2 linked regions of the Danio rerio genome follow. The protein of the gene in region 2 interacts with the protein of the main gene of each other region in a biochemical or structural test. Links are inferred from orthologs where the notes say so. Each region holds a gene or a part of one and is shown on either strand. Other genes may lie near its edges.

Evidence for each region.
Region 1: the proteins of cdkn2a/b (region 2) and trip12 form a complex in vitro, tested with the Homo sapiens proteins (2 studies listed by BioGRID). The link is inferred for Danio rerio from reciprocal best matches to the Homo sapiens genes CDKN2A and TRIP12.

Annotation. Positions count from the first base shown.
Region 1 is NC_133193.1:44,171,847-44,182,391, reverse strand, and holds part of trip12 (E3 ubiquitin-protein ligase TRIP12), read right to left. Parts: intron 8,840-10,545; 5' UTR 8,791-8,839; coding exon 8,693-8,790; intron 7,253-8,692; coding exon 7,127-7,252; intron 7,019-7,126; coding exon 6,117-7,018; intron 797-6,116; exon of another isoform or gene 756-796; intron 1-755. UniProt on the Homo sapiens protein: E3 ubiquitin-protein ligase involved in ubiquitin fusion degradation (UFD) pathway and regulation of DNA repair.
Region 2 is NC_133176.1:27,772,090-27,783,240, reverse strand, and holds cdkn2a/b (cyclin-dependent kinase inhibitor 2A), read left to right. Parts: upstream 1-4,326; 5' UTR 4,327-4,588; coding exon 4,589-4,714; intron 4,715-6,372; coding exon 6,373-6,624; 3' UTR 6,625-7,886; downstream 7,887-11,151. Other genes in the region: mtap (S-methyl-5'-thioadenosine phosphorylase), read right to left, coding at 8,089-8,127, 8,248-8,370. UniProt on the Homo sapiens protein: Acts as a negative regulator of the proliferation of normal cells by interacting strongly with CDK4 and CDK6. This inhibits their ability to interact with cyclins D and to phosphorylate the retinoblastoma protein.

The sequences.
Region 1 (10,545 bases), on a different chromosome or scaffold from region 2:
ATTTGTTCCTAAAAAAGATGATTGGTAAAAACACTAATGTGAAAAAGACTCAAAAGATTTACTGATTCCCCCAAAAACACAACCTCACCTATTGAAAATGCACCCGTGTCAACATGTAACAGCACATTTATTGAACAGTCCTATATTAAAATGTATTATTAAACAAACTATCCAGGATTACATTAAACAAGTAGCACAGTTCATCAAAACCAAACAGCTTGAAGCGCCCAACTGATATACAGCATACACCACCGGGCCAACAGGATATAAAAAACAATGCAAAATGAAAGACAAACTTTAAAAGACCTCTGACTGCGCTTTCCCTGTAAAGCCAGATGAACCAATCATACCTTCAACAGCTCCAGTCTGGTGGTCAAACCCCAACACTGAGGGTCTATTCTGGGCAAAGCACTGCCCCCTGCCCTTTGGCAGAATGCCCTCCCGTGACTGTTCATATCGGAGTCTGTCCTTCCATAATCATTCCAGCCTGACCTATGTCTACCCAGGATGACCTCTCTTGCTTAACATAAACACCTCCAACAAGGCCTCACAGAACACTTCATAGCAACCCTTTGAGTGTATAACAAGACTGACATCTAACCAAAACCACTCATATGATCTTGAACAGTTAACCAATAAGCTTAGATATCCATGCATGCCAGTGTTCTAACCCACCTCCATGAATTCTGATAGCCCAAACCACTGCTAGGCTTATCTGCACAGCAAAGTAAAGTACACCAAAAAGGCCTTCCTACCTCAACATACATCCAGCCGCGACTCTTGTCCATAGAGTACTGTAAGGCAGCAGAAGGCTGGTATTTTTAGCCCTGGACACTGGCACTGAACTGGACTGAAACCTGAGCCAGCTCCCCCTGCCATGACCAGAGCCAAAACCCCATCCACTATTACTGGGGCTGGAAATGATCATCAGTATTGGTGTGATCATTGAAGTGAAGACACCAATTCTACTTAGAGCAAAAATACCATGTCTGCGATGAGCATGCAAATGTCAACCTTCCCATGAAAAAAATTAAGTTTACCAAAATATGGAAACCCTGCTTAGACATGTGTTTTACAGTACTGGAAAAATACTCAAATGTTTATTGTAAATGACATATAATTATTTGTAAACATTGATACAGTCACACAAGTGGCAATTTCACGTCTCATCTATAAAGATGAGGTGTCACATACAAAGGTTTTCCTCATAAATTTCTACAAGATATGTTGTATACTCTACACTACCTGACTAAAGTCTTGTCGCCTATTCATGTTTTAGGAACAACAAATAATGACTTGACTTCTAGTTCATCATTTGCTATCAGAAGTGGCTTATATGAAAGGCAAAGGCCTCTAGATTTTGCGTATTTCACCAAAATAAAATATGATCCTGCCTTGATTTTTAATTATTTGATTAGGACAGTAAGGTCTGACTTGGCTTAGATAAAGAGTCTTGTCATTTAATAGAAATAAAGTACATTATAGAACATAAAGTAATGGTGCAGCCAGAAAAGAATTAATATTGTGTATGACCTTCTTTGGTTTCAGGAACTTTGATGAGGAGGCAAGTTAAATTTAAGACTTAAAGAATTTAAATTTAAGAATAAAATTTTAGACTCATAAAGGGCTAAATGCTAAGGGATTTTTCAAATAGTCCAAATGGAAAAGATTTTTATTTGCCATATCATTTTTTTAAATAAATTAAAATTACTTAATAATACAAGAACAATAAAAAAATAATTATTATTTTAGATTTTATGTCTTAGCAAAATATTTTAACTACTGTGTAAAAACAGGCAAGCTCTGCTTGTATTTCTACACTTAAATGAATACAAAAAAAAATGAACAAATGTTTTAAAAGTTTTAAAAACTATAATAAACTGGAGCACTTTCAAACAAATGTTATTGTTAGGAAAATAACTAAACCACTGTGATAAATAGAGTTAAAAATGACCTTTTTAAATAAAAAAGGTTAACGTTTTATTGAGATGGATTGTTGGTGATTGGATATGGATTGGATATGGGTTTAGACCAGATTGGGCAGCAATGCATGAACAGGAAAATTAAGACCTGTTTAAAAAAAAGATTTAGGACCTACAACACATTATTTCAGTAAATTTAAGACCTTTTAAGGCCTAAAATTTGAATTTTGAAATGTAAGACCTTGTAAGACCCTGCAGAAACCCTGCATAACTCTTGAGTTAAGTTGTTTCGGAAAATATAAACAGATGTTTCAATATAATGTTAACATATATACTTTCTCTGTGAATTTATGTTTTAAGCTTTTACTGCAAATGTTACATTCATAGCGCTGGAATTGCTCCAATGCAGAGATAACAATAACTGAATATTTACAGTCTATCCTTTCAAAAGGCTGTCCGTGATTTTAAAAGATTACACAAGAGTTTGATCTGTCTCAGGGGTCGACTTCTTGTACATCCGGGACCAGCATTATTTTGAGAATTCTCTCACAAACTGTAGGTGTTTGGGGGATTTCATATCTCTCAATTTCTGCTTTGAAAATACAGACACTGCAATCGATCAAAAACAATAAAACACTGATGATCATATTCATCATATTAAGATATGTATATCCCCAAGCATGAAAAGATTTCTCTGTGGATGGAGTTCATGAGTGCTAAGTTTATGAGTCTTAACATGATCAAAAGATTGGCAAGGGCATGATATGAAGAATATTACACGTTCTGAGTTAAAAGTCGATCAATGGCAACACTGTCATCCACAAAAGAGCAGCCATATAGATCAGTTCTGTTAAGCTCGAGTGTCAGATGCCTCACTTGCAGCAGGTGTCTGTACACTAAGGTTTACTTCTAGCACCATTGCAGCTGGTGTTGTACATGTGCACTCACTAGCCGCGTTTCCACTATCGCGCCTAAAGCGAGCGAGCCAGGGCGAGCCAAGGCCAGTGGCGTTTCCACTGTCACTTCCGGGGCCTAATCGGGCCTAAGCGGGGCTTTCTTGGGGCCAGCGGCCGGCCTTTTTCGGCCCGCCGAATACCTTGGGCCAAGGAGGGCCAGCTGGGGCTTTGGGGCGGAGTGAAAGGAGAGGCGGGCAGTTTTCTGATCGCACATGAGTACATGCGCCAAACAAATAAAGAAATAAGGGAAAGAAAACATCTAGCCTTATAGTCTGGGGTCTTTTTGCGTATGATCACCCTTATGTTTCCCTTTTAAATGTAAGGCTGCTGCATAAAATAATAAAGTAGTTTTAATTTATAGTGACGTTCTTTGCTGCGTCCTCCTTTATGTTTCAATAACGCATAATAATCTTTACACCATATTAAAAACACATCAGACAGTAAACGTTTTCGAGAGTTTTTGTCAAGTTTAAAATGTTTGTTTGTTTGTGCACGTTTAGATGCCTGTATGTGTGTGTGAGACCGGGCAAAAGCGCTCCTTCACAGCTCTGTTATGCCGCGAGCGGCTTTTTTCTTTATTTATTTTGGAGATAATACACATATAAATACAACAGAAAGACATAAACTTAACAAAATACGTGCCCACTTTCGTAGACTTTAAACAATATATTGTCATATCTTGATAAAATAGCCTAAGGTAGCCTATATTGAAATATAATTTAAAGAATTACAAATATCGGATATATATATAATCACATTAAATAAATTAACCAATATAAAATAAACAAAAGCTAACTATAACAATGTAGGTAGCCTATATACAATACATAAATCAAACCGTTTTAAAGCCACATATAGCCTAACTTTCATTTTGCAAAGACCTGTCTGGAAAAAAAAAAAAAAGATTTTCGATATTTTTTAAAAACAATAAACACCGGAGAAGGTTTGAAATATTTATATAAAGTAAATATTTATGTAAGTAAATATTTATAAAGTATTTGGATACGATGATATTAATCAAATCGCGCAAACAGAGCATTATTTGAGTGAGTGAAAGCAGAATCTCCTATACCTTTTTTTCTGTCACTCAGTCCTGCGCAGCACTCGCTGCTTTAAACGCATATGGGGGAAGTCCAAACACAAAATGTGTTCCATATCCTCAAACAACTGTTTATGTTTTTATTTGACGTGGTTAAATTTATAAATGAAACTTTAAATGATGAGTTTTAGTGAATAGCTGCCGAGCGCAACAAATATGGCTATATTTTATTAGGCTACTCGCTCTTGTGCTGAAAACTTAACACGACTTCTATCAAAACGAGGATGTTAAAAAATACATGCCATATCGAGTTATAAAGGAGAATTTCTGTGGCTTTATATTATGGATGTGTGCGCTCTCTGTGTTGGGTCCCTGCGTTAGTGGCGAGAGCAGTCCATGCACAATGCAGTCGGTCGGCGAGTAAACAAATGTAATGAATGGAAATACACAGGTCTGTGCGTATAGATATATAATGTACTGCTGTACAGTAACGTGTCGTTTGTTTGTTTCGGTTGTCTTCATTTTAATGGTTTCGTTTCGTGATGATTTATGGTGTGCTTTATCTGCCTCATTCCCGCTGAAGTGGGCGGGTTGTGTGACGTTTGATTCGGGGACGTTCTGTGGGCGGTGTTTGCGTGACGCGCTGTGAGCTTTAGCCCGACAGTGGAAACGCGACATGATTTCAGCCTCATTTCTCAACCTCCCGGGCTATTGGCCCGCCCCGGCCCGATTAAAGCCCTGGCTCGCACTGGCCCGATAGTGGAAATGCGGCTACTGAATCTGAAGCCCAGACACTGAATAGTTCAAGTGTGTGCAGCCATTGTGATTCGATCAGTGTAGATGAAATTATTGGCCCTTTGGTAGATTGTACAAATGCAACAATAACAGTATTTCTTCTGATAGGTGTCTACTATGTAAAGATATGTATGCATGCTGCTGTTATGCGTGTTAAGAGAGTTTAAAAAGAGTTTATTTACAAGACTGGCAATTTAGCTGGTTAGAAGGAACAAATTAATGCAACAGACAAGGAAAAATTGCAATACTACTTTAGGACTAGTAGTCTAAGAAATAAAGCTGCCATTTGCTCTACTTAATGTGTAGTACATTAAATGACTAAAATGTTACCTATTTTTAAAAATGATTGTGGAAATGCTGTTTTTGATTCATATTTAGAATTAAAACACTAATGCCGAGTTCAGACTGCATGATTTTCAAAGTAGTCGTGTCACAGATGTTTTTACACTGCATGACTATCTGGGCTAGCGTTTCGTCGCTGCTTTGTTTACACTGCAAGATGGATTGGGGACTTTCAGATTACATGACTTTACTATAGGAAGAATCGCCGACAACTTCGTCCAAACTACGTCTCACAGCAAAAAACACGTAGTATATCTTTTGTTATTAACTACATAATGAGAAAGAAGCCTTTAATGGGGTAGAACATGTACATGTTTGCTCACCTGGGTTTAAAGGGAATTAGCCATTTGTCCTCAACGTTGATAATAAACTAATTTCTTTCTGTATAAAACGTCAAACAGACACGGTTGCCCCTGAGTCCTGTCAAACGTCCACTAGTTTTTCCTCCATTTCGTGGGTCCAAATAAACCGAAAAAGAGCGCTTTTACCTTCTCCCCCAGCCTCCCGCTGGCCTGCAGCAGGTATACACACACGCACACACAAGTGAAAGCTGCTCTCTCATTGGCTGTAGGCGATGGCTGATGTTATTTTCAGTCAAAACTCATTTCACACGGCATGATTTGAATCGCCGACAGCTCCAGATATTTAGCACGCCAAATATCTCACAGGCATCGGCGACTCATCGGCGATTCTCTCAGATCGCGTCTTTGATAGTTCATACTTTGTGATTGTCACTCACGTGCACGAGCAGCGATTTGCCTGTGAATTCAGGCATTTGTCGGCGATTTCTCAAAACCTGTCGGCGAGCCAAAATCGCGGCTAAAATCACGCAGTCTGAACTAGGCATTAATTAACATCATTTAACAGTTAAAGAGGTCTAGTGGTTTTAGCTACGGATCTGAAGCATGCCATAGTGTGTAACTGCTTCTAATGTTTTGGTCTAGTCTCTTATTTTGAGAGCTTCTAAACACAGGTAGGCGGGTTTTTTAAACCTGACGCACTGCTTTAAAAATACAGAAAGAAATGACAGGGAATTCTCTGAACAGCAGTGTGGGCACTCACTTGCTAGTTTGGCCTGCAGTCCGGAGGGCCCAGGCTTGGAGGACGTCTCAGCCTTGGCCGATCCCGGCAGGGACAGTTTGGGCTTTGGCAGGTTGACTTTGGAGTTGAAGCGAGATGCCCAGTCAAACTTGGAGGAGCCGGCAGCTTTGCTCTGCTCTTTATCCCGGCTACTCCTGCGGGGGGAAGGGGAGGACGCAGACCGTGATCGCCGAGCTTTGCTCTGGTCCTTGCCCTGCTTTAGCCGGGCGCCCTGAGGGGCACAGCTATTGGTGCCTGTGGCGGCCGAAGAGGAAGAAGAAGAGGAGGAGGAGGAAGAGGCAGAGGAAGAGGAGGAGTCAGTTACGGTGCTACACCCAGCTTTGGCTGAGGCGGCCGATTTGGACGCCAGCTTGGTGGGTTTGGCTGCCCGGCTGGCCTCGCTGCGGGGTGGCAGGGGGCCTGCCGCGCTGCTCGAGCTGGGGAGGGAGGAGGAAGAAGAGGACGACAACAAAGTGGCGTCTGCCTTCTTGCGCTTTTGAGAAGGGGTGCTGGAGGCCCCACTGGGGCCAGGGTAGGATGAGCTCTTCTTGCTCAGGGCTCTGGCAGGAGCCGGTTCGGCTGCTAACCGTCTCTTTTTGGACTTGGTGCTGACAGATGCTGGAGCCTTCCTTGGCTCTGTAACTTCAGGTGATATTGCGGGGGCCGAGGGCCCACTGGCTGAACTGTCAGAGAAGTGGCTGGACACCACTTTGGGTCGCTTGGCTGGACTAGGTGAAAAAGTGATATTGGGCTCTGAAACGGAGCTGCGTTTGAGTGCGCGGGTGCTGCTGCCCTCCCGTCTCCCCTGTTGGCCTGAAGTCCCTGCTGCTTCCAAGTCTGGATCTGGAATTGAGAGTGAACCCACGGATAGAGAGAGGCTGTTCCTATAAAAACAAACAGAAGAGGAAAGAACTTGAGAACCCAAGAAACCGTAGTCTCGCATGGTGAACTTGTGTCACACAAAAGACCCACACAGGAGTAAAAAGGGATACCTTCGAGAGGTGTGGCCGCGGGCGTAGCCGACGGCAGAGCTGGGCGGGGCTTTGGAAGCCTTAGAATTAGATCTTCTATTTTCAGGTGGGGAATTTGCTTTTTGGTTTACTTGCTCTGGCTGCAACCTGGAGAGGTTGGGAATTAAACAGCAGAGAGCAGTGTGGGATGGGCAGCAGATGAGGAACACCTCAAATTAGATTTCACGAGATGACAACTACTGCAGTCCTACTCTCAGCACTTCCTACACAGCAATCAGCCCAACGGCACAGACAAACTGCAATCATTATGACTATCTAGCTAGACATTTCTCATAAGTTGAGAGCATCACTCTTAGATGGGCAACTAAGCAACTAGCCACTTGTCTGGAGAAGTTTTTTGAAAAGAACACAGGCAAATAATAAACCCAAGTGTCCATGTAACACGTCTAACAGAGAAACAATCTCAGTCTTTCCAGCACTGCTATTCAGCTACTGATTGTATAGCATCATTACTAACGAAAGTATATTTTATTTAAGTGAAAGTCTGCTGCTTGAATCAAATGTGAATGTAGACAGACTTGGCAAACCTTTTAGAATACAGACAGACATTTAAAGTCTGTTTAATGCAATAAAATTATTAAGGCCCCGATATACTCTGTGACAATCTTTCAGATTCTTCATTTAAGAGTATAAAGTAGCTTAAAACACCTCTGCAGCAAAGACTGTAGGACCCTGATAAAACAAAAAGCCAAATACTTGAAATCAAGATTCTTAAATTGTTAAACTGATTTGAGTTATAAGGTTTTCTCCATGACATGATGGCTTTTTTAATCCCAGATTTTTTTCTCAAAAAAATCTATTAACAGTTTAAAGTAATAAATAGAGCTCAACATTTCCTCCCTGCTCCTTGCCCTGTTTTTGTCTTCAAATAGTGACACATCAGAGGCAAAGAATTCAACAAGCGCTTGAGCTTCAGCATCCTAGAATGAACTGGACCTCCACATACACACTCAGATCCATGATCATCATGTAATGATCATAAACCAATGGTAGTTTTAACAGAACTTTTTGAAATGTTTTGAACTTTTAAAACAAACTCAAAATGACGTTTGATGTGGTGTCGTTTTACACAAAATTAGATTAACAGTTTTCATAAAGTAAAAAAAGTTAAATATATAAACCAAAAAATATTTATTTTAAATTGTAACAATATTACACAGCACTTGTAAATTAAACAGTTCCATGACTAAAATTTCCAAATTAAGAGTCCAATTAGTCCAACGATACAAAAATCCCACCACAAATTAGTTTAAATTAATCATATTAGAAACTACACATTAAAATTAATAAGAAAAATATGCACTCAGAAAAAAACTAGGAAACCAAAACATTAATGAAGCTAATGAGGAACAATTATAAACACACTTCTTAACGCTTTACTTATTGTTAAGCATCAATATGGCTGTTGCCTTGGACTAAAAATGAAACATAGTGATGCATCACAAAGAGAGAAAAGACTGTAGTTATAGATGCCATTTTATTCAGCAACTGCTGCACAAACGGAACTGTCTTCTTTGGTTAACTCACCTTCCTGCAAGTGTGTGGTCTATTGGCTGGGCCGCGGCTGTGTTCCTCTGTGAACGGCGCAGTGACCCCCCTGGATTGGAATTAGGCCGGTTGGACATTGGCACCTCTCTCCTGAAGGGACATACCCTTTCTAGACACTACCATTCACTGGTAGCAAGAAAAAAAAAAGAGAGAGAAAAAAAAGGAAGGTAAGTACACTTATAGTAGCCTCATATCATTACAAACCCCTGATACTTTCGTTTATCTTCAGAACATATTTTGGATGAAATCTGGATGTTCCCTCATCCTCTATAGAAAGTAAGGGTTTTATATTGTTAAAAGTATAGAAAAGTACCAAAAACAGACCTTATGCCTTCAGCGATTCAATCGCAATATTACAACTTCTTCTGATTTAAAATATTATTTCTTCTCCTCGACATCATTATAGTTTGAGCATTCATTATTTCTTCTCCTCGGCGTCATTATAGTTTGAGCATTCATGAGCATTGTGCGGTGATGACCACCCTGGGTGAACAATAAGACACCATAAGCGAAAAGGTGCACTTTAATTTTGATGCCCACATACATCTTCACTAAACATAAATCAGAGGTAAGACTTTCTCATTCAGAGCCTCATTTCAGTTGTCAAGTTTTGTAAAAATCTATCTATTGAATCTATTTTTAAAAAAAAGCAGTGTCATTGTAGAAATGAACAAAACAATAGGCCTAATACAAAATATGACAACACTTATATATAAAAAAAAATTATCATATAGTAACTTTTGGTCAGTTTTTTAATGGATAATAGCACTCTGTAATTTCATGCTTTCACTTTCATAAAATGCACATTAATTAGTAGGAATTACATGCTGGCCTGCTCATAATACTCTTTTCATAAAGCCATATATTTGGCTATTACTAAGGTTGTCACTATATTGAAATTCAATACCAATCAGTGCTGAGATTTTAAAAACATCCATTTCCCGTGAACATTAAAGTGATGTGGAGCACGTTCTTAAACCGCGCTGCTGAAGAGTGGAAAGTACACGTTTGCAAACCCTACCTAAAGTTACAAAGAATGGCGCCGACGACAGCGATCATGTGGTGAATGCTGATCCGCTGGCCGAGATCAATTGAGTGTTTTCAGAAAACGTTCCCGAATTTCGATGCGTTGCATTCACTGCGTGTTCAGCGCAAATGTCCGCTAAATGTAAAATCTAAAGGCTGATTTATACTTCTGCATCAAGCGCATGCGTATGCTTCGTCGCAGCCTACGCGTAAACGCATAGCCCCTCGCCGTGGCCGTTGGAGTCGCTGATGCACACCTCTCAAAAAATATAACGCGTACGCGTAGTGCAAGCTCTGTGATTGGTTGGCATGGTAGCGTTGACGAGTGTGGGCAGAGGTGAGAGCCGCACGAGCATGATGCAGTGGGTGTTTACAAGTATGAAGTCCCGTGAAGAAGCTCAGGATAGTGACTGCTATTTTTTGTTTACCCTATGATTAAAGTTGTTGCACATCCGCCTGTTTCTGCTTTAAAATGAACGAGTTTGAGCCACTTGTACATAAGCATTCAGAAAAAAACAAAACACCAGAGAAGGAACCCGACACAGAGAAACATGAACACCTACTCTGCCAGCTAGTGTTTCGGAAGTGTATTGCAGAGCAACAGAACAGCGCGCAGAAGTATAAATGCACGGCTACGCGCAAGGCTTGCGCCGTGGGTCACACAGACCGGTATTGACAGTGGTTATCGTGGGAATCCTGCTCTGCCTCTCTCACATATTTGGTCATCTGACTTGCCTGCTTTTTTCCACAAACACAGAAAAATGTAAATCAGCTCATAAGACTGAGCATTTAAAATGATACAAACC
Region 2 (11,151 bases):
CTATAAACTATCATTGGCAAATTTATAAACCGTGTGACTCTTCACAATATGCCAACCACTTCATATTGTATTGCGTCTTTGCTGAAGAAAATGGGAAGAGCTTCTTTTGGCCTTCCTTGTGGATGGTAGCAGAAAAAGGGATCTAGATCCTTAGGCTGGGGCCATGCAAAATAATTCTCTTAATGTTATCTTTTCATGTCCTCCATTTCCCTAGTGTCATTCTGCCACTTCCTTCCACCAGTATCATCATACAATTACTATCAACATGGTTGTGAAGTGCTGCAATACATGATTATTTATACATCAATACACATGAATGTAATGGCATCAGAAAGCAATGTACATGTTGTGGAAAATCAGTCAACAGTCACTACAGTTTATTGCTCACCTAACTCTGTAACTCCAATTTTTAAAATTATCTCCAGCCATAAATATAACTTGAAATGCAATTCATGTAAATTCCCAACTAGAAACTTGTGTTTAGATCAATTCTAATAACACAAAAAACACAGCATTAGAACAGAAGTAGCCTACAGCTGTTGTCAGCATCACATTCAATTGAGAATTGTGTACTAGGTTACATTTAATTTAAAAAATAAAATATCAAATTAAACAGGCAAAACAAATCTTGCAAAACTTAGAGGCATTTATTTATTTAGTCAGAGGCCTAAACAGCACCACTTGGGTGTATCTGCATAATTTTACCAAAACAATATTATTTTTTTATTCACAATTATCTAATTAATTAATATTAAATAATTATATATATATATATATATATATATATATATATATATATATATATATATATATATATATATATATATATATATATATATACATACATACACACACACACACACACACACACACACACACACACACACACACACACACACACACACACACATTTCCAACTACCAGTCAAGTTTGGAATCAGTGTTGATTAATGTTTGTAAAAAGGCAGTTCTGCATTTATTTATTTAATAATATTTTAAATATCTGTTTTCTAATTGAATGTAGTTTCAATTTTGATTAATTTCTGTGAATTAAAGCTAAATTGTTTATTATAATGAGTTGCATTTCTGTTATAATAAATTATTAATGGTGCAAAAACACTGCTGATTGTAGATCACTGTTGAATGATTCTTACAATTATTAGTGCTGAAAAGAAAACACTTTGTCTTGCTTCTTAGTATCATGGAAACAGTGGTACTATTTACTTTTAGGATTCTTTGATAACAAAGAATGTAAAAAAAAATCATCTTTTTTTTTTTATTTACTTTCACTCTTAAACGATTTATTATGGTGAATAAGGGTAAACACTTTGATTGATACTTTTATATTGTATTGTATCAGCTTCCCAAACTGACAACAACAATAAATGTTTCTTCTTGAGCAACCATGATGCTAGAATATTTCAAGGATTATATTACACTGAAGACAAATCCTGCTTAAAATTCACCTTTAAACCACAAGATTAATAACATTTTAAACTACATTAAATAAAAAAAAAGTTTATTTAATATTCTATATTTAATATTTTTATATTAAAGGAATGCAAAGCCATGAGTTTATTATAAAACAGATCTTACTGATTACAAACTTTTGACTCGAATAGGGCTCATTTCACAACAGAAATGTACACAGAAAACCTCATCTTAAGTTTGCATATCAACATAAACATTTTTTTTTTCATGATGCAGATGTACTGTCAGAAATGTTGACTATATTTGCTGAATAACATTCTCCAGCAGACGGGTAGTGCAGAAGTTGAGAGGGCTTTGCCTGAACACAATCTTCACCAGCTGTTAAGCAGTGCATGCATGTGACTCATCACTTTTGCTCTAATTCTCAGTAACATGGCCTTGTGCTACTTCTCAAATTCTCACAAACAGCCAATTGTTCCCATGCATGATGTTTGTTTGTGGGTGGGTTTGTGCGTGACAGAACAAGGGAGTATGTATAAGTTTAAGTATGTATAAGTATGTATAAATCAAAAAATTGTCATGTCAAAAATGCCTAAATGCACAAATATATTATTTTAGAACTTTTACAAATTAAATCTGAGTAAAATGTCATTAAATACAAGTAAAACAAAGGTTATGTTATTTGGGAAATTAAAAAGTAGTCATAATATAAATTTACATATTGACAATGAAAATATAAAAAGAGTATATGCAATTAAGTTTCTTGGTGTTGTATTGGAACATAAAATTAGCTGTAGCAATAGTGTATAAAGCAAAATTTATCCTGGACAATAAATCAATGTATATATTATATAACACACTTATGTAGCCATATATGAGTTATTGTGTTGAAATTTGGGGGAACACATATTATTCTAATTTACGATCCGTAAGTACAATGCAGAAAAAAAAGTAATCAGACTGATAGAAGGTGTGGGGTATTTGGAGCATACAAATATATTTTTTAAAATTAAAGATACTCAAGTTCAATGATTTGGTTAAATTTAAAACAGCACAATTTATGTTTAAAGCTAGGAATAAATTACATCCAAAATGCATACAAAAGTTTTTTGAATAAAGACAAGGGGGATATAACCTGAGAGAAGAACTAAATTTTATAGGAGGTTGAAAACAAGGACAACTTTAAAAAGTTTGTGTATGTCTGTCTGTGGTGTGAAATTATGGAACAGATCAGACTCTCAAACAATGTCAGCATGGTAATCAGTTTAAAAAGTTGTATAAATAAATATATATTATAAAAGGAATATAATGATGAAGGTGATTGAAAATGGTATGATGAAACTTTAATTAATGGCTATTTGCAGTACTATGTTTTTTTTTTGTTTTTTTTTTAGGTCTATGTTACAAAATGTAAAGGTACAAATGGATTTAAACATGTCAAAGATGCCAAAAGGATAAAATATGTCTCATGTAAAAAAAAGAGATGAGTGAAAGAAGAAATAGGTTTAAGTAATAGACGAATGAAGTATGTGGTAACGGGGTGGGAAAATAATAGGCTTGTGCTTCATCCCAGTCCATTTTCGAAAATGTTTTTTATTTTATTTTATTTTTTTATGATATTTTATGTATATTTTTGATCCAAAATAAATAAATCAAATCAAAACTTCTTTTTTCCCCCTTTTAATGTAGGAATTTCAACTGTGGTATTAAATATTAAAATGCTCATGCCTATTTACTGGAGTTGTGAAGTAAACTTTGTGCAGGATATCTTTTAGTTACATAGTTCAACTATTCTATTTCTACATGTTGTTTAATATCTATTCAACAAAACTAAGTAAAATAATTCATTTTTAATCGTTGCTTCTATGACATTTAAATTAAATTTTCTATTATTAACACTTAGCCAGTGGGGCTTTGCCAACTATTTTTTTTCTTTAATATTGTACTGCGTTGGTTTGTTATGATTATTTTATTTACTATTTCATATTTTAGTATCTATTTTGCATGCACATTAACCAATATTATTAACATGTTAACAACATCAAAACATGAATAAGTTAGAAAATTAAATACAAAAGCACACTGTTCTTCATTTTAAACAGGTGCATCTCAGAATGTGATTTTTACTTTATGTAAATGATCTACACAGCCACAGGACCCTTTATCTTTTTACTTATTTTCAACGTATTAGAGAGGCAACAAACTCACTGCTAAAATTAAAAACTATTTGCTACAATTGTTTAATACCTTGTTTCTGGATACAGGCTATAGTTTAGCTACAGTCGTGTGATGGGGAAATAGCATTACAAAACTGTAAGTCAGACGATGTTTGGGCAAAATTATGGCCATTCGCGTCCTTTCTATCGTGCAGAAAATAGATTTATGTTCATCTACAATCAAAAACAGAACAACCATTATGAAAAAAATATAAATATAGGCTACCACGAATGTATGTATATGCTTTTTTGTTATAATTTATGTGGATCAAAAATATAGTTTAACTTAAGCGCCCCACACAGCATAATGGCTAAATAATATACTTTAAAGTAGCCAAGTCAAACTTAATCTCTACAGGCCTAGCTAACATCGCGTCTTAATCAAAATCCATAAAATAACTTTACTCTTGAAAAACGAGAGATTTTTCCTGGTAACGTTAGCCTATTCCCGAAGAGTAACTTCTCCATGGCACAAAACCCAATTATGTTAGCATAATTAGCGTTGTGATATGCTTATGTACCCGAAAAAAAGAATAAAAAAACTTCTTGTGATCTAAAAGCAGGCTAATGCCAGTTACATTAGCCATAAAACATTAGCAGAACCTAATTTCTGTTTCTCTGCAGCCTCTCCTACTGTGTCGTAAACTCATGTCTTCCTGACTCAGCTGTTGTGCGCAGGCGCAGTATGACAGTACTGCACCACGGTTTTGCTGTGACGTTTATGACAGAGACAAGTCCGAACAAATATCTCGCTACGAAAAATTATTTTAAGACACAACACTTTGATAAACGAGTCAGTTTCGCTTATTTACGCATTATATTGGAACATGTTATTCATGGAGACCGATAAAAATAAATTACAGCGTTGAACTGATTGTTTTCGCAGTATCATCATCATTTGGTTTTACCTGTGAAGCGAATTAATTTCGAAAATCAATAAAGATGATGAACGTCGAGGATGAACTGACCACAGCAGCAGCCACCGGAAACATTTCCCATGTTCAGTTTTTACTTTCTAACGGAGTGAATGCCAATGTGGTTAACAAATTTAGAAGAACGCCTATACAGGTAGGTTTAGACGCGCTTTAAGAATAAACAACGGAAATAAACAAATGCAAATAAATAAATAAGATTAATTGCAGATATGTAACATTAAATTAGTAACATACAATTCAAAGACTTATTTTGTATTAAAGGTCATATTATTTAACAAATTTAGGCTATTTCATATTTTCACACCTGTTTGACTATATGGGATTTACTTTTCTTTTTTTTTTTTAAATATTAGGCTATTTGTGTATTTATTTTACTCATTTTAGCATGTTTAAGAACCTTTTAGGCTACTTAAACGGCCTGAAACATGTTTACCAATAGCGTGTTATCAACCTATATAATACTAACAACACTTTCTATCTTTTAGTAATGTCATTAATTTTAACATTATAATTTTAACTTATAGCTACATTCTTAGAAATTAGTCCGAAATAAGACAAGGAGTTTTGGATGTATTGTCAAAGTTCAAATTATTCAAAGAAAACTAAAATCTTATTGAAAACGAAAGTCCCAATGTACTATAACTGTGTATAAAAACCAAATGTTTACAATTATATATAAGAGATAGATAGATAGATTTATATACATAACAATAAATAAATAAGACATTTTATAGATCTTAATTTCAGATAAATTTTAAACTATTAAATCATATCTCTATGTGCGAGAAGAATGGCACACTACTTGCTAATTCACTCCCGAAAGCTTTGTTGGCATCGATGGTTTTAAGAAGAACCTTTTGCATCTATGGAGAAAATTTTTGAAAAATGTGCCTTTAAACTATTAAAATGTTTATTTCATTTTTTGACAATAAAAATACTTCTTTTGGAAGCTTTGTAATAGGTTTTCTGTGCGGAACCAGAAGGGCATCACTGCGAAAACCCTTTTCCTCTTATTGCCATGCTTGTTTTTACGAATGTACGTTTAATATTTTGACATTTGTACAGTTGGCCTATATTGACCAAAATAATCAGCCACCACTAGCACAGTCATAGACTAATGGAGTATATATTTTAGACCATACTTATTTTTGCTTGTTTTTATAATCGTGTAGGCCTATTATTATAATATTTGGTGTGAAAGTTTTCATCTAATTTTCACAATGTCCAATGGTTTTACGGTTCATGCTCTCGGTTACGGGACATCAAAAGCCGAAGAGGTAGCCTACAATAAAGTGCGTATAGATATCTTTTAGCACACTTTAAACAGATGGACAGCATACATCCAGAAATCGTAAAAGATTAGGCAATTGTAAAACTTCTGACGAGCATGAATTGCCTCAGAAAAATGTCAATTAAACGAAAGATGTTTAAGAAAATCACAAATGTGAACAAAGCATATTTATGGCATACATTTTATTTAAAATGATTATAGGAATCTTCATAATTAATCATATGAAAAATAAGAATTAGCTACAACACAATTTGTTGCATTTAATTGATTTACTGCCCGTGAATAATTTATTGATAGGCTAAAAGAGTAATGCATCATGCACAGCAATGTTCAGTGCCAGCATGTGCACTGCTTTCGTTCCTATTTAACCAAAAAGTATCTACTTTCCAGATTTCGAGTGATGGCAGTAAAATTATTGATTAAACAAACTTCTTTACAGTGACATCATGACGTTACTGGCGTTTATTTTTTCATGAGACAGCAATTTTCCCCCTCTCCAGGTGATGATGATGGGTAACGCACCTTTGGCTCTTGTGCTGCTGGAACAGGGAGCGGACCCTAATGTGCCTGACCCCGACACAGGGAGCACACCTCTGCACGACGCTGCCAGAACCGGATTCATTGACACCGTGCGGCTTTTAATCCGCTTCGGCGCCGACCCCAATACAAAAGATCACTGCGATTTACGACCAGTGGATGTGGCACAACAGACTGGCAACGTAGACGTGGTTGAATTACTCAATCGTGTTTAAAATGTTTAAAGACTGCATCACTGCATAGCCTAGGCTACTTTAGGTGGTAACCTTATTAATGCACTCAAGTACTTATAATTCTCAATAGCACATGGTCATTCATGTAGTTTGGAGATTCTAATCATTTAAAATTTTATTTCTGTATCTTTTAAGTTTATTTATTATTATTATTTATTATTAGCTAGTCAATGGGAACTTCAATAAAAGGCTACAGACACAAACCATCATACGCTCATGCTAGCCTATAGTTCGCATAATAAAAAGTGTAGACAGCATTATGTCCAAAGATAAATAAATAATTAAATAACATATCCACCTATTTGTTTTTAACCTGAAAAGCATGGCGACAAACATTGAATCAAATGGCTTGCAACGCAAGGACATCCAATATTTTTGGCGAGCTCTTTCTTTTTTCATTTCTTCCGGTTAAACATGCTTTTATTAAGTTTATAATATTGTACGACTAATAAAAATGAAACTTTCTATTTATACCAAGGCATAATTTAAATAATTTTGCTTAACGTGGTTAGCTGTTTGTTAGCTCTGTGTGGTTAAACTGTGTGGGTTAACTGACAAAAGAAACATTTAGTTTGTGCGGGATGTTTGTTAGCCTTTATTCTTAACTGTACTGTAGTGTTGAATTGATAATTGTTTCTTTTTTTCTGGCTACTCAAATACCCGGTGCAAACTAAACCCGTATGTTAATTAAGAGTTTAACCTTAAAAAACTATATATAGCCTAATAGAAAACGAGGCGCTTCATTTTACATGCATAACTCGTTTAACTAAGTGCAGGAAAGTGTATTAAAATCTCTATTTTTTTAGAAAGGCAGAGAGAGGAAAAAAACAGACAGAAAAGTTAAATAAGGCGTCGATGTAAAAGAAAACGGTGTAGATGCAAAGGAAACGAAGCAGGTAACGCTTGTCCAAAAAAAATCACTCCTGCATTTTTGTCCCCCTCACATTTGTATCCAAGTTTGTTACAAATACGCACTTTGTTCTTCATTCTAGAAAAACAAACGTGTTGCTGACTAAGTTACATATTTGCTAATTCAAATATAGTACAATGAATAATATCCACACAAACTGCATAGGGAAAACAGCATTCGTTTATTTGTAGGTATGACAGCCATTTATTAACCAAAATACTTGTATTTATATTTAAGCTATTTATGTCATGCTTATATTTGTGTGATATTGCTACTGCTAATGTAAAAGGCACTAAAACAATTGTAATTATCCCAAGATCCCGTCTTTTCCCTCTACCAGTGCTTTCATGCATATGTCTAAATCTGTTTATTTGTTTGTTTATTATAACTGCACAGCCATTTCAGTGTGGTTAACATACAAATCCCCCTTTTTTTTTTTTTTTGGTTGATGGTGGTAAGAATATTACACTTGTTTAAAGATAAACAACTGCAGTCATAGACACTACATTTTCATGACTTCTCGATGGCAGGATTTGTTAATGTTTGGGCAACATTACTGAGGACTGAGACATCGACTGAAAAACAACCAAGAGAAAAAACAAAATCAGATGTGATGGAAAATGTTCAACTCATATATTATGTTAAGAAAAAAAGCTGCTTTATAATTGCAGTATTTTAATAAAAACTCAACTCACTTTATGTGCATTTATTGTGCTGTCCCAGTCCATCTGGCAGATTTGCGGGATTGCTGTGAGCAGGATGCTGCTAGCCTTATTTGCGTTCTCTTTCATGGTTTTCAAAACATTGTCCACACACACCTAGAATAAAAAAAACAGCTTGGTATTTGCAAGAAAATTATGATACAAAGCAAAAGCGTGTCAATTAAAGCACCAAAAATCTATTAAACATTATTGTTTGTGTATGTTTGTGTATATTTAAGTTTTCTAAAAAAAATGGTAGCTTTATAAAGACATTTAAATAAGGTTTTTATTCATAAACATTGTTCAGACAGCATTTACAGCATTTCAATTAAGCTTAAGTATATCACATCAGCACAATGAGGATTGTTCTCACACATCTATGTATAAACTAGTTAAGCTGTCCAATGTTTATATCAGAATAAAATAAACTAAAAACATCTAAAAATCTTATAAAGTTATCATGTCTCTCACTAGATTTGCATTAAACTGCTCGATTTATGTGGATTAAAAGAAATCTTCATAAAAAACTAAACAAAATCCACATAAAAGAATTTAGATTAGATCTCTTAAGAGTCTCAGGTTTGTTTGCAGTTGCTCTGATAAGGTTGCTGAACTGGACTACATTTTATGCTCAAGTAACAGATAGACTATTGTCTCTAAACTATGAGCCATTTGGTTGTATAATGTCAGGATCTACATTTAACCTACTGCACCGACAGGAAATGTGAACTACACACTTTTTACTTTTTTTTTTATCAACAGTGGTTTCCTCTGGAGGAACTGACTAATTGGCTGCCAACAAACTGTGTATGATTGTCTGTGTATGAATCAGACAGAGATACTGAGAACACCATACAGGGACGGAAGGATGTGATGAAGCAGGGAGTGAAAACTAGAGGTCAGCAGCAGGAACTCGGAAGGCGGACTGAGAAATGCAAGGGGAAGTAAACACCAACACCAACTACCAGTCTTACCGGTCATCCGGCTATCGGAAACAATAATCTGCAGAGAGTTTATTGACTTAAAAATAAATATCCTATAAAAATTCTTCTGAACTAAGATACAAATAACTTGGACGCAGCAACAACACTTTTGCCTATTATAAGGTTCATTCTTTAAAATAGCATTTAAAAAAAATAATAAAAAAAAAAATATATATATATATATATATATAAAAACACATTGTCAAATCTCTTGTTTACAATAAACTATAAAAAAGCACCTAATAACATGAAGCTCTCAATTTAGACTTAAGCACCAAAATAATAATAAAGGCTAAAGCTTAATGGTTTGTATTTGCCACAAACATAAGGACCATTAGAAGAGATGGTCTTGAATGGAACCAAGGCTTTAAATATACATTGACCAGCCACTTTCTTAGGTACACCTTTCCAATGCACATTTCTAATCAGCCAGTTACATGGCAGTAGCTAAATGCATTTAGGCATGTAAACATGTAATGGTGTGGGGGATATTTTCTTGGCACAATTTGGGCCCATTATTACCAACTGTACATCATGTCAACGCCACAGCCTACCTGAGTATTGTTGCTGACGATGTCCATCTCTTTATGACCACAGTGTACCCATCTTCTAATGGCTACTTCCAGCAGGATAACGCGCCATGTTATAAAGTGTGAATCATACTAGACCAGTTTCTTGAACATGACAATGAGTTCACTGTACTCAAATGGCCACCACAATCACAAAATCTCAATCAAATAAAACACCTCTGGGATTTAGTGGAACGGGAGACTCGCATCATGGATTTGCAGCTGACAAATCCACAAAGGATTAAGGCAGTTCTAAAGGCAAAAGGGGGTCCAACTCGGTACTAGTAAGGAGTGCCTAATGAAGTGGCCAGTGAGTGTATATAAACTTGGTTTAAAAAAAACAAAACAATAAAATTATTGATTATTGTTAATATGCAAACACTTTTTATACAAGCTACTGCGCCATAATTAATACATTTATAAATGTCTTAAAAAAGCTTAAATAAAAGCTCAATGATGTAAGATTTATGCCAAAATTATTTGTTTTATTCATTGACTTAATGCCATTGACAAAAAAATATTTAAAAAGGTAAACAGCATTTAAATAATGAATACACTTCATGCAATGTTTGGGTTTCAATAAAGAGTTTCTTCAAGTAAGCTAAGCTCACGTTTTTCACACACAAGCACCATAAAAAGAATAAATTAGGGATAATAATAAGCTTAAGAAAGGGTGGGGTGAGTATAGGGGCTATTTGGAAAGGTCCTGTGTTTTTTTTTTCCCTGTAATTCCATCGTGTAACACGGAAATGATATAATTCACCTTTAATCTTGATGGAAAATCATTATTATTTTAAAAGGGTGTTGGTGAACCATAGTAATAACCAATAACAGCATAATAAAGCGAACTGTTCATCATGTTTTGTAACTTCAAAAACACATTCTCGTAAATGATAAAATTTAACTTTTTTTTTTTTAAATAGTCACTGACAAAATAAATAATAATAGATTTAGCTGCAAGCAGCAATTAAGAAGCCATGCAGTTCAGAGGCAGAATCAGTAATCATGTCAGAAAACACCACTTCAAGAATTTCATGCTTTCATAATAATAATATTAAGGAGGGAAAAAATCTTTTTTTCACCTGTAAAATGTCAAAAGGGGTTAGTGAGAGGTTGCTTTAGCCAAACCCTTTACATCCGAGGAAGAGAATAATCCTGCATTTAAGTCATTAAACAATTTTTATTTTTATTAGTTTTTAATACCCAGACTAATACCTTATTCCTATTATATTATTATTAATAATGATCTTGATTTTAATTTTAGGTCTCATAATGTATTTTGTCGGAAGTTACATGTCCCCTCACCCCAGCTGTGGGTAGATTAGACTGAAAATGGTTACAACAAA